Schizosaccharomyces pombe: one gene and its partner. The gene in region 2 interacts genetically with the main gene of each other region. Each region holds a gene or a part of one and is shown on either strand. Other genes may lie near its edges.

What was found. Genes that interact genetically often act in the same process or in processes that back each other up.
Region 1: mutations in ada1 (region 2) and bmt2 together harm fitness less than expected from each alone (positive genetic interaction), as found in Schizosaccharomyces pombe (one large-scale study listed by BioGRID).

Annotation. Positions count from the first base shown.
Region 1 is NC_003424.3:363,270-367,536, reverse strand, and holds bmt2 (rRNA (adenine) methyltransferase Bmt2), read right to left. Parts: upstream 2,093-4,267; 5' UTR 1,988-2,092; coding exon 1,175-1,987; 3' UTR 1,095-1,174; downstream 1-1,094. Other genes in the region: protein Vps55, read right to left, coding at 6-142, 189-244, 348-432, 497-569, 646-664, 720-736; mug58 (glycerate kinase), read left to right, coding at 3,935-4,267.
Region 2 is NC_003423.3:378,318-384,532, reverse strand, and holds ada1 (adenosine deaminase Ada1), read right to left. Parts: upstream 4,234-6,215; 5' UTR 4,144-4,233; coding exon 3,973-4,143; exon of another isoform or gene 3,910-3,972; coding exon 1,585-3,909; 3' UTR 1,233-1,584; downstream 1-1,232. Other genes in the region: chaperonin-containing T-complex delta subunit Cct4, read right to left, coding at 1-212; tim11 (F0-ATPase subunit E), read left to right, coding at 573-593, 659-830, 921-1,006; SPOM_SPBC106.03 (steroid dehydrogenase), read right to left, coding at 4,833-5,906. UniProt on the Schizosaccharomyces pombe protein: AMP deaminase plays a critical role in energy metabolism.

The DNA of each region.
Region 1 (4,267 bases), on a different chromosome or scaffold from region 2:
AAATATTAAAATTCTTCTTCGTGTTGAACAAAAGCTTGAGAATATAAAGTAATAACAAGAAATATAATAGATCCACCAACGCAACTCATTGTAGCAGCAGCAGTACCAATTAATCCGACATTAACAAATACTATGGGTAAAGCTATTATAAATTAGCATAAAGGTCTCATTCAGTTATAAATACATACCAAACCCGGTACAGATGGTTGCACCGAATGTAAATCGACCAAAGTCAAGAAGATTTCTTTAGTAAACGTTAGTAGAGCTCCTTACAAATAATAATGAAAAATAACAATTATGGTTGAAATAATTTCCCCAGAACAACCAACATTATTATATTTCCATACCTGTCTTCCTCTTGTAAAAAGTCATGGCTTGTCGAGTATTTTTTCGTAAGGAGATTAGGAAGAGGAGCTAAAATGAATGGAATGACTATTCATTAGTAATTCGTAAGCAATGTAAATGAAATAGTTCTCAACGGTTGACAAAATCATACCAATTAGCAGTGGATACCAATTCTTGAATAAAGCACAAGACAGGATCACCAGCATAAATCCTACTGCCAGGACCTTAATAATATAAGTTAGACTCGTTTAAAATGGAATTGATGTCTAGCTCGAGTAGGAGTCATTGAGCGATGCATACCGAAGAAAGACCGATAATTCTAATTGGTGACAAACGTTAACCTTTGCTTTTTCATATTAACAAAAATTACTTACTTCCTGAGGTCGGACATATTTAATTACTATCGTTCACGAATATATACTGCAAGCTAAAGTTTACTGCTTTTGAGAAGAGAGACTTCGATGATTACCAGCTACTTCACCTAAAAAGGGTACGCTCCATTACGTTATACAGATGTGTTCTGTATGCATAGAACACAGAGCGGTGCACAAGATTTGTAAACTTGGCAAATAAGTTTAAAAAGACATATAACGAAAATGACTTGTTACTATTTTTTACACCAATGATCGAGCTTTCGGCTCATTAGTAAAGTATCGCATACGAACAAACTCTGAAAAACGTACTTTGTAGCTACGTAAGTAAAGGCTAGTAATTGACATTAACAATACAATTAAAAAAAAGCAAGAGGATAACCGACAAAAAGCATTCATTTCATTAATTTAACTTTGAGATACTAGTAAAATAAATTTTGTATTGACAAATATCTTAATTAGAGTATACAGGGAATGAAGAAATTATTCCTAGTTGCCCCATCATTAACGATCTTCTTTTTCCAGTCTATTTCTTTCATAGGAAAACACTCGTAAGAATATAAATAGTAGGCTATTTTTTTCGATATAGACTTTTGACGACAGATAAATCCAAACTGTATCATAATTGAGTGTAATGTTTTTTCATCCATGTACCGAGAATTTGTTATGCAAGGCGAAGGCAAAACCAAAAATAACCAAGGAGGCTGTTCTTTATTAGGAGGCATTAACAATCCTGTACAATGTAATAACATTTTAGCTCGGAGTTCTGGAGGTGCAAAATTCAGCACAAGTGAACAACTTATCCCAGTAAAAAGTCCTTCTTCAGGAGTTCTTTCAAGAAAGTCCTGTTGTTTAATCAAGGGATGAACAGAATGCAAATCAATCCTTGAAACTCGGAAAAGTCCACAAGTTGAACATTTGTTGTCAACAGAAACACTGCCAATTTCCAACAAATCTTTCGGCTCCTTAAGACGTGCGCAATACGAAAAACAGGGAGTTGTCCGAATCCATTTTATCAATATTTTACTTGAATCCCCTCCTTTTCCTTCCGCTTGACCGGATCGACTAGCTCGTTGGTAAGCATCAATACCTATATTTTCGAGTTCACTTTCCACATTTTTTATTTTTTCAATCGGAGCACTTGACGCAATAAGTCGAGATTTCTCTTTTAACAGGTTATGATAATGACGAATAAGCTTATTCCCCTTCAGTCCCTTTGCATTATCAATGTTGTTTTTTCCAATGCGATTCTTCACTGGAATGGGACGCATTCAAATAGTGATAAAATATTTGTTAATCTCCCAGATGAAAATATAATTGTATTTACAGTAAATGGTTCATAAATGTAGTTTCCTAATTACTTGAAAAGTTTTTACGATGAAAGAAGTAGTGTCGCGTTACTTATAAAAATTCAGCACAAGAAGAGCTTGGACAATGTATGATAAATTCTTAATATGTAATTAAAGAGCGGTAATTTATGCAACCCTTTAACCATTACACAGAATATTAAACGGGTTTCCTTTTTTTATACGGTTTGTACTTTACAAGCACAAATCAACTTTTTTTATATTTGAAACAAAAATTTAAAGGCTTTGGGCTTCGAGGGGGATCGAACCCCTGACCACTTCGACCCAAACGAAGTATGCTACCACTACACCACGAAGCCTCAGTTGATATTGTGCTTTGAAAACTGTATATATAGTTATTAGATTTACTTGATTATTAACTAAACTTTTTCAATTGTTTTTAAAAAATAATCAAAATAAAGAAAACAACCGCCAAATATGGTAGAACTATAACATAAAAAAATTCGGATAAATAAACAGCCAATATCAACTTCTCTCTTAAATTGTTTTAAATGATTCCACTCATCAGTTACGTTACGATATAATTGATATAAGTTATTTTTAAAAGAAAGTAATAAATGTGTATAAATATGTATATACGACAGCTATTGAAAAGTATTTTGGTAAATTCTAAACTAACGATTTATATCTAGTGGAATTGGATAAGGGACTTTATTTATTATTTCTTAAATAAAATACATTTTAAAAAATAAAAAAAAATAAAAAAAGAAAAGAAAAGAATTTGGTGTACTACGGATTACCTTAAGTTTTTAAGTTAAACGGGTGAAGTGTAAGTATTTATGATATGAAAACCATAGAAACATTTTTGTATTTTTACTACTTACAGACGAATTCTAATTGTTTCACCAGACTATATACTATTAAAACAAATAAGTGCTTCAAAAATAATTATTGTAGATTAAATTTTCTTGATAACTCAAACTTGAGTAAATTAATTTTTTAGAGTATATGTTAAAAAAATAAATACTTTTAGTTTAATTAAACGTACAAAAAGTGTTAACAAACATTATGTACCTGTAAACAAAATGTAATAATTAAATATAAATAATATTTGTAACTGCGGCTGCTATCGCATTGGATGGGGGACTGATTGTTGTACATTTCAGCTAAACTTATTTTTACAAGTTACTTTATTTACTGACACAATAAATTGCGTGTTTTTTTTGGATTACTATAGAAAAAACACATACGTTAGCACTGGAATATTATTATTTAGCTATAAAAGTCGCAAGAGACAAGTATGACAATTTAAAGACAAAGTATAAAATGCATATTACCTAAATTCTTCAGCATTTGAGCTATACTGCATGGCATCAAGATTAAACAATTTAAAAGTTAGCCGTCATTGTAGAAAATATAACTACAGAAATTCTATTATCCCTGAAAATCCAGAGCATCACCAAATTTTATTATGTATCTTCTATTTACTTATAGGTAAAAACAAAACATTTACAGCGTTACAACTTTCCAAATAGTGAGGCGCAGTGAAGCCGTTTCCAAGTATTACAGAGTTTACGCAAGCATTCAGTATATTGGCACAAATGAGACGTAACGGAATGTTAGTGATACAACATCCCGTAACAAAACTTTGTTGGTAAAATCCAACCATTGCATAACGACTTTAGCCTTTTAAAAAGCTTTTTGTGTTTGTAGTCCTTTACTGGTAGTCGTTACGAAAGTATCTAGTCACTGTGGTACTTAACATTGAATTTTCATATAGCTACAGCACCTCGCTTTCTTTCACATTTCGAGTATTAGTCCTACGTCTTTCCTATACTTATGTTATTAAGTCGTTTTTAAGGGGAAGCTAGGTTTTGTATTTAATTTAAAAATTTTATATAGAAGTGGAATATGAGTTCGTTGGAAATCATTGTCGACAAAATTTTAAAATTCCTGGAAAAGCAGCCAAAACCTGAAGGTCGTCCTTTTATTCTTGGAATTTCCGGCCCTCAAGGATCTGGTAAAAGCACACTGGCAAGTGCTTTAGATACCGAATTAACAAGGAAGAACGAATCAGTTGTGAAGTTCTCACTTGACGACTTTTACCTCACGCACGCAGAACAAGTTGAATTGGCCAAAAATAATCCCAATAATCCTCTTGTTCAACATCGTGGTTTAGCTGGAACCCATGATGTCACATTTTTAAATAATGTTTTAAATGCATTTGTTAAGGGAAGCGATGAG
Region 2 (6,215 bases):
AGGACGGACAAGTGCTTCAAAATAGTTGCACCATCATTTGTTAGAATAACTTCACCTTTTCCTGTTTGAATCATTTTGTCCATTCCCTTCGGTCCCAAACTAGTTCGAATCGCATCGGCGACTGAGCGAGCCGCCATAATATTTGAAAGCCGAACCTCTTGAGGCTTTTCTCGGTCTTGAAATGCCACGGGAACCGTTGCTGCTTTCGACATTGTGTTTGGTGAAGGAGAGCAACTCTACTTCGTTTGCTTTACCTTGGGACTTCTTCGTGCACTGTAAACTACTGTACTCGAAGTTTTGTTATTGTATACAATTTAATGTGTCGTAACGTGTTAATGCTATCTTTGTTTTCGAAATGGATCAAGCACTGGTAGCAGCTTCAATACCGCGGAGTAATTAAGAATACGGTAAAGCGTTTGCTGAAATATTTTAAAAAAACCTTTATTAGAATGTTAAACTAATACTAAACGTTGCACTATTCGTGTTAAGTGTTTAGAGTTCGATTGTGCTCGGATGCAAAATGAACTTGAACACTCCCCACTCTTTTACAAAAGTGATATAACGCTCTAAAAATGAATTCCATAAACGTAAAGGTATCCTCTAATGAATTAGTTTCACGAAATATCCATGTGTATTTTTAACCATCTCTAACGAATAGACATTACGCTGGTCAGCCCTCGTCCTTGGCTTAGGTGCTGGAATGTACGAGCATAGGAGTCATATTCAATGTCAAAAGCAGAAGGAGATTGATGAGAACTATCACCGACAAGAATCCTTGATTGAATCTGCCAAAATTGCATATCTCAATACTAAAAACACTCCTCCTAAAGGTTAGTTTCTTTGCATCTCAACGAGTTTAACGAACTTTGGCGGGTGCAATAGTACTCATTTTTTTTTCGCTTTACTAATACTCAATTTAGAAGACTCTATGTTGCCTAATTTGAAGAAAGATTCAGAAGATTTCGATATGGATGAATTTGTCAAAGAACTTGAAAAAAATGTTTAAATTCATCCTCTTGAACCACGAATGGGTAACCCTTATCACACTACAAATCGATATACTAAACTAGTTTGTTTATTTTTGTGTGCACTTTTGGTGCGATTAGTATTTGCTGATTGTCCGCGTCAACTGATTAATCAATTTAACGTTTTGCTTAAGTTATTACTAAATTCGAATTGTAACATGGTAACTTATCTTACTTTACTCACTTTATTATAATGAAGATGATCCACATGATTTGTTTTTTTGAGAATTAATTCTCTATAAGTATTCCATTAAATAGACTTGTAAGCTTTTTTCATACCATTTTAGTTCACATGGATATCATTATCTATTTAAATATGTATAGTAAACATTCATTCCAAAAAAAAAAAAAGACAGGAAAGAAAAGGAGGTAATATATATGTTATATATATTTTTATGGGTTATTTAACATAACAAGAACAAATATCGTTCTAAAACAGAATGCACAATTATCAAAGGTATCAAAGGTATATTGCCTTCCCCAAATGTTTCAATACATCAAAGTTGCATGAAAAAAAAAGCAAAAGTAAAATAAACGAAAGCGGTTCATAATAGAAACCTTAATCTTTCAAATCTTGGCTACTGCTAGCCATGCTATCCTTACGTCGACGACGCTCTGAAATCACACTTAGTCCAGGGAAAAAGGCACCATGGTCATGACCATCATGAAGAGACAATCTACTGCTTATTGTAGCGTCGTTCGTACGAGGAGAAGCCGACAAAGGGTCGCTAGTACCAGTCATAGCATCATATTTATGGATCAATTCCTCCAAATCATGGTTTGAAGGGTGCTTGGATGGTTGGACATGCTTGTTCACTAACGCAATTTCTTGTGTCAAAGTCAAAGCACGATAAGCCAGGCGAATTATAGGTACATTAGTACGATCAATATCCTGAAAATCAACACCCAACCAACGTTCTTTAAGCTGACGTTCGAAACCGGATTGTAAAACACTGTTTCTAGCCAATTCGCACATATCGACAGCAGAGAGCTTATAAATTTGTGCGGCTACAGCATATTCCTCAATCAGAGGCTCTCGGGTAAATGCAAATTGTAAAGGATCATCAGTGGAAAGACTAACATTAAGACCTCGTTTGAAGTACGTCAAAAATGGATTCTTATCATATGCAAGAAACAGTGCATTGTTTGATAATGGAGACATTGCGATAGGGATCTGATCAAGGTACCAAAGATACTGAAGAAAAGGAACTTTTCGTAATAAAATACCATGGTTAATACCGTGACTTAATAAGAAAGCACTGGCCAAATGATCCGTATCTCCAGCTTCACCACAATGAGGACGAAGGACAAAGGTGTTAAAACCACGTATTTTTCTCCAGCTATTCAAGCTAGTCATGTTGGCATACATGTAATATAACCAATAACTATATGGAGGATTTAAATTAATATCCCAATGTTTCGGATAAGGGAATTTGCGAAAGGTACGGCGTTCAGGTTTACTTTCGTCGTCAACAGAGTCAAACCCGATAACACGTTGCAAAAACACGTGGAGTTTAGGATGTGTACGAGGATCCTTTGTAACTTCGAACAGTGGTTCAAAGACATTTCTGACGACCTCTTCAAAAGTCTCAACAATACCGGACTTCTTATACACATCATACAAACGAGGTACTTGAATAAGCCAACGAACGTTGGGAGAAAAAAGTTCGTTATCAATAATCCAGGCTGCAAGCTTATCCCATTCTTCACGATTCCGTCCATAGATAGAAATACGATATTCAGCCATTTGGTACTTTTGAGTTCTAAGGTCGGTGAACACCTCTTTGGTAAGTTCAGCAAGATATCGACCGTTAATATCATTATCGGTTTTCAGGAAAATAGTACGCAAACGAGATTCACCAATTGGATTATATTTCAAGTTAAATTTGTCAAATCGGTGAAAGGTGTCAGTATGAGCATGCATATCCAACGTGTCTATACTAAGGTCATACGAAGTCAACTTCAACGAATCAAATACTTCTTGTAAAGTCAGGAATTTGCCATCACGCCAGATAACTTTTTCATTAGGGCATTTACGAAGTTTAGCTTTGATAAATCGCAAGAGATGTTTTTGATTCGCAAGAGCAGAATGATGGACGTGAGTATCTACCTTACGTACATTGTAAAAATCACGATGGGGTACTTTTTTGGTATCTGCCAGCTCTTGATACTCGTTTAGCAGCATATACATATTCCAGCGTCCTTCTAGATACTGCAATCTACGGAAGGAAAATGATTTACTAGGACCATCCGATGAAGCCGAAAGAAGGAATTCTAAATCTATATAATAATCGCGGATAGTAGGAATATGAAAAGACGGTGTCCCCGCAATGTATGCGCTGTCATTCTCATAAACTTGAAATATACCTTGATGATCCATGTGATATTCCATTTCATTTTCAATTCCAGGAATTTTGCAATCAGCAAAATTAAACAAGCCCGTATCATCTTCACCTTCTTTGCAATCAGGGTATATAATCCATGAATCATCGTCAATGGGATTGTCAAGCTCACCCTGTAAGCTCACCCTAATATATTTGTGTCGCATGTCCATACATTTATGGATTGACAAATAAATTTCTGCCAATTCATCAGAGAAAAGAGGGTCAGTCGTTTCCATGTTTCCTGGATCGGTTTCAGGGCCACCAACACTAGAAACTACAGCATTGTCTCCCTGCTGCACATGGGGCATATGAATGCTACTTATTTTGCTTTGAAGCGTATCATTCAAAAGCTTTCCACTTCCAGGACCAGCTTTACTATGGTTTACATCATCACTATTCCTTACTGTGCTAGCCGAGACTGATGGTCGTCTTGGGCTTTTAGAGGGCAGTCCATCCCGACCGTTTTGTGTTCCATTCATAGCCAGAAATTTAGCATCTTGCTAGGTTATGGTTAGTTAAACACGTAATATATCGAATTGGGGGGTTTTCACTTAAATACTTACATGTCTTAAAGAGCGCTCATAAGCATAATCAAAATAAGGAGTGTCTTGAGACGAAGGCGCTGCTGCAACTTCTTCGTCTCGATTAGCACCAGGATTCGTTACATATCGTTTTAAAGGAACAGTTTCAGCTGCAACAGCTGGGACTTGATCATCTTCTTGTTCCATGTTCATTTCAGCTCTAAAAATTAGAATAAAAAAGAATCCCAAAAATTGGCCTCTTCAAGAAGAATGCGACGAAAACAACACCTTTTTGAGAGGAGCGCGTGCACTTGCGGGTGAAGAGCCGTTTATATACGGAAGTAAACCACATAGTGAGAGAGGACGTACAGACATTATGTTGTTTAACGAAATAGAGCGATGATTTATTGAGGCAAACAAAATTAAGGGCAATTGAAATGTTTAGAATTCTGGCCAAACTGAATTTGTTTAAATCGAATGATTTTTAATATTTTCATTCAATAAATTAAAGAGAAAATTGACACTCATTTTACGAGTAACTTTTGTTTTTACGGTTTCAGTAGCGATCAATATACATCCTATCTTTTGTATCACTTGCACATTTAAGTAGACAATACAATTTGAAATCGAAATTGTAGCAATAGTACGAACGGTAAAATAACCTATAAACCATTTTACTTAAGTTCGCTCTGAGGAAAAGAGCTTAACAGTTACTAGATTTCGCTTTACACCTCGAGCGTAAAAAAAATAGAAACAAAAATAATTGAAAAAACTCAAGCAAAAGATATGGATATCAATGACATCTTTTCATAGCATCATTATCATTATACCAAACCATGATAGACATGGGATGAGTTCAATTTGACAAGGAAACAGAGAGAACTGAGGCTCCATACAAGTATTTAGCTGCGCTTAATAAGACTGCAGGAAAAGAAGTGAAATTTTCCAAACAAGGAGAAAATCCCATCAATAACACACGTAGGAAGGAACCGTGATACTGTGACCATGAAAAAGGTGCGACAACCAACATGGCGAGTTGGAGAGGGCCAGCAACCAAGCAAGGAGTCAAAAATTTTGTTTAGAACCTTACGTTCCGTACACAACGAAGGAGGATAATTGCTTTTACCTGGAGAGCTAGAATGATCGTAATTCAAAAAGCTGAGATTTCCAAGTTTGATACAAATAACCTGTAAGCCCGTTTCACGCTTGAGAGTGCGCAAGAAAGTTTCAATGGAAGAAGAAAGAATAGATGGAACAGCATAATTGGGAGGCTCATAAGCGGATAATATACCATGAGACAAGCCAATGATTCTGGCCTTTTGACTTTTCAAAAGAGGAATCATTCGAGAAACGTTAGAGAAAGATTCACTGAGTTGTTGAAAAGCACTGATCCAAGCATCTTTTCCAATGTTCTCAATTGGAGTGTACAAAGAATCTCCTGTGGGAACGAGAATAAGACCACGTAGGCGCAAAGCATACTCCTTAGGGCCAGATTGATTGGAAAAAGACAAAAGGAAGCGTTCAACAGCCTCATTATGAGTAACAATCAAAGATTGAATGTAAGGGCGTTGTTGGAGAGAAACAGTAGCTGCTTCAGATGCATCGCGAACAAGAACAACGACGATAAAACCACGACGATCCAAATCGTGAGCAATTACTGAGGCGAGAGGGTTCCACGCAGATAAGACAACAACTTGGGTTTTTTGGTGGTTGGGTGCACGTGGAGCACGACGCTTGCGTACATAATCATAGCGTTTGTAATAGGATAATCCAGCAAGGAACAAAGCGGCCGATCCTAAGCCAACTGATACTCTATTTTGATAAAGAAATTCTCCCAATCTTCCCTTGGCACTGTTTGTAGTATGAACTGTAACAGGTTGAGGGTTACTAGTTTTTTCATGAGCATAGTCAATGATTCGCTTGCCGTAATCCTTAACATTAGAGACTAAATCGGCAGCCCAGCGTTCAGGATTCATTTTTTAATGTTATTCTACCTTTTTGATATGATAATTCGTTTTCGTAGCAATTGGATTAGATTTCCAGGCAAAAAAACACTTCAATTTTCTCCCTGATATAATGTTTGAAGAAGGAAACAATGCAGGATGAAATTGAAAAATATTTAGCAATTTCAACAATAAATACTATCACTTGAGGAATTCACAAGTAATACTTCAAAAAGCTAAAGAATTCTAAAACTTGGAATTAATGAAGTGGTGAGTGGTGGTTGAGAACAGGTCGCGAATATTGGAAAACACCATGATGTCGTGCTAACTTGATCCTAAATC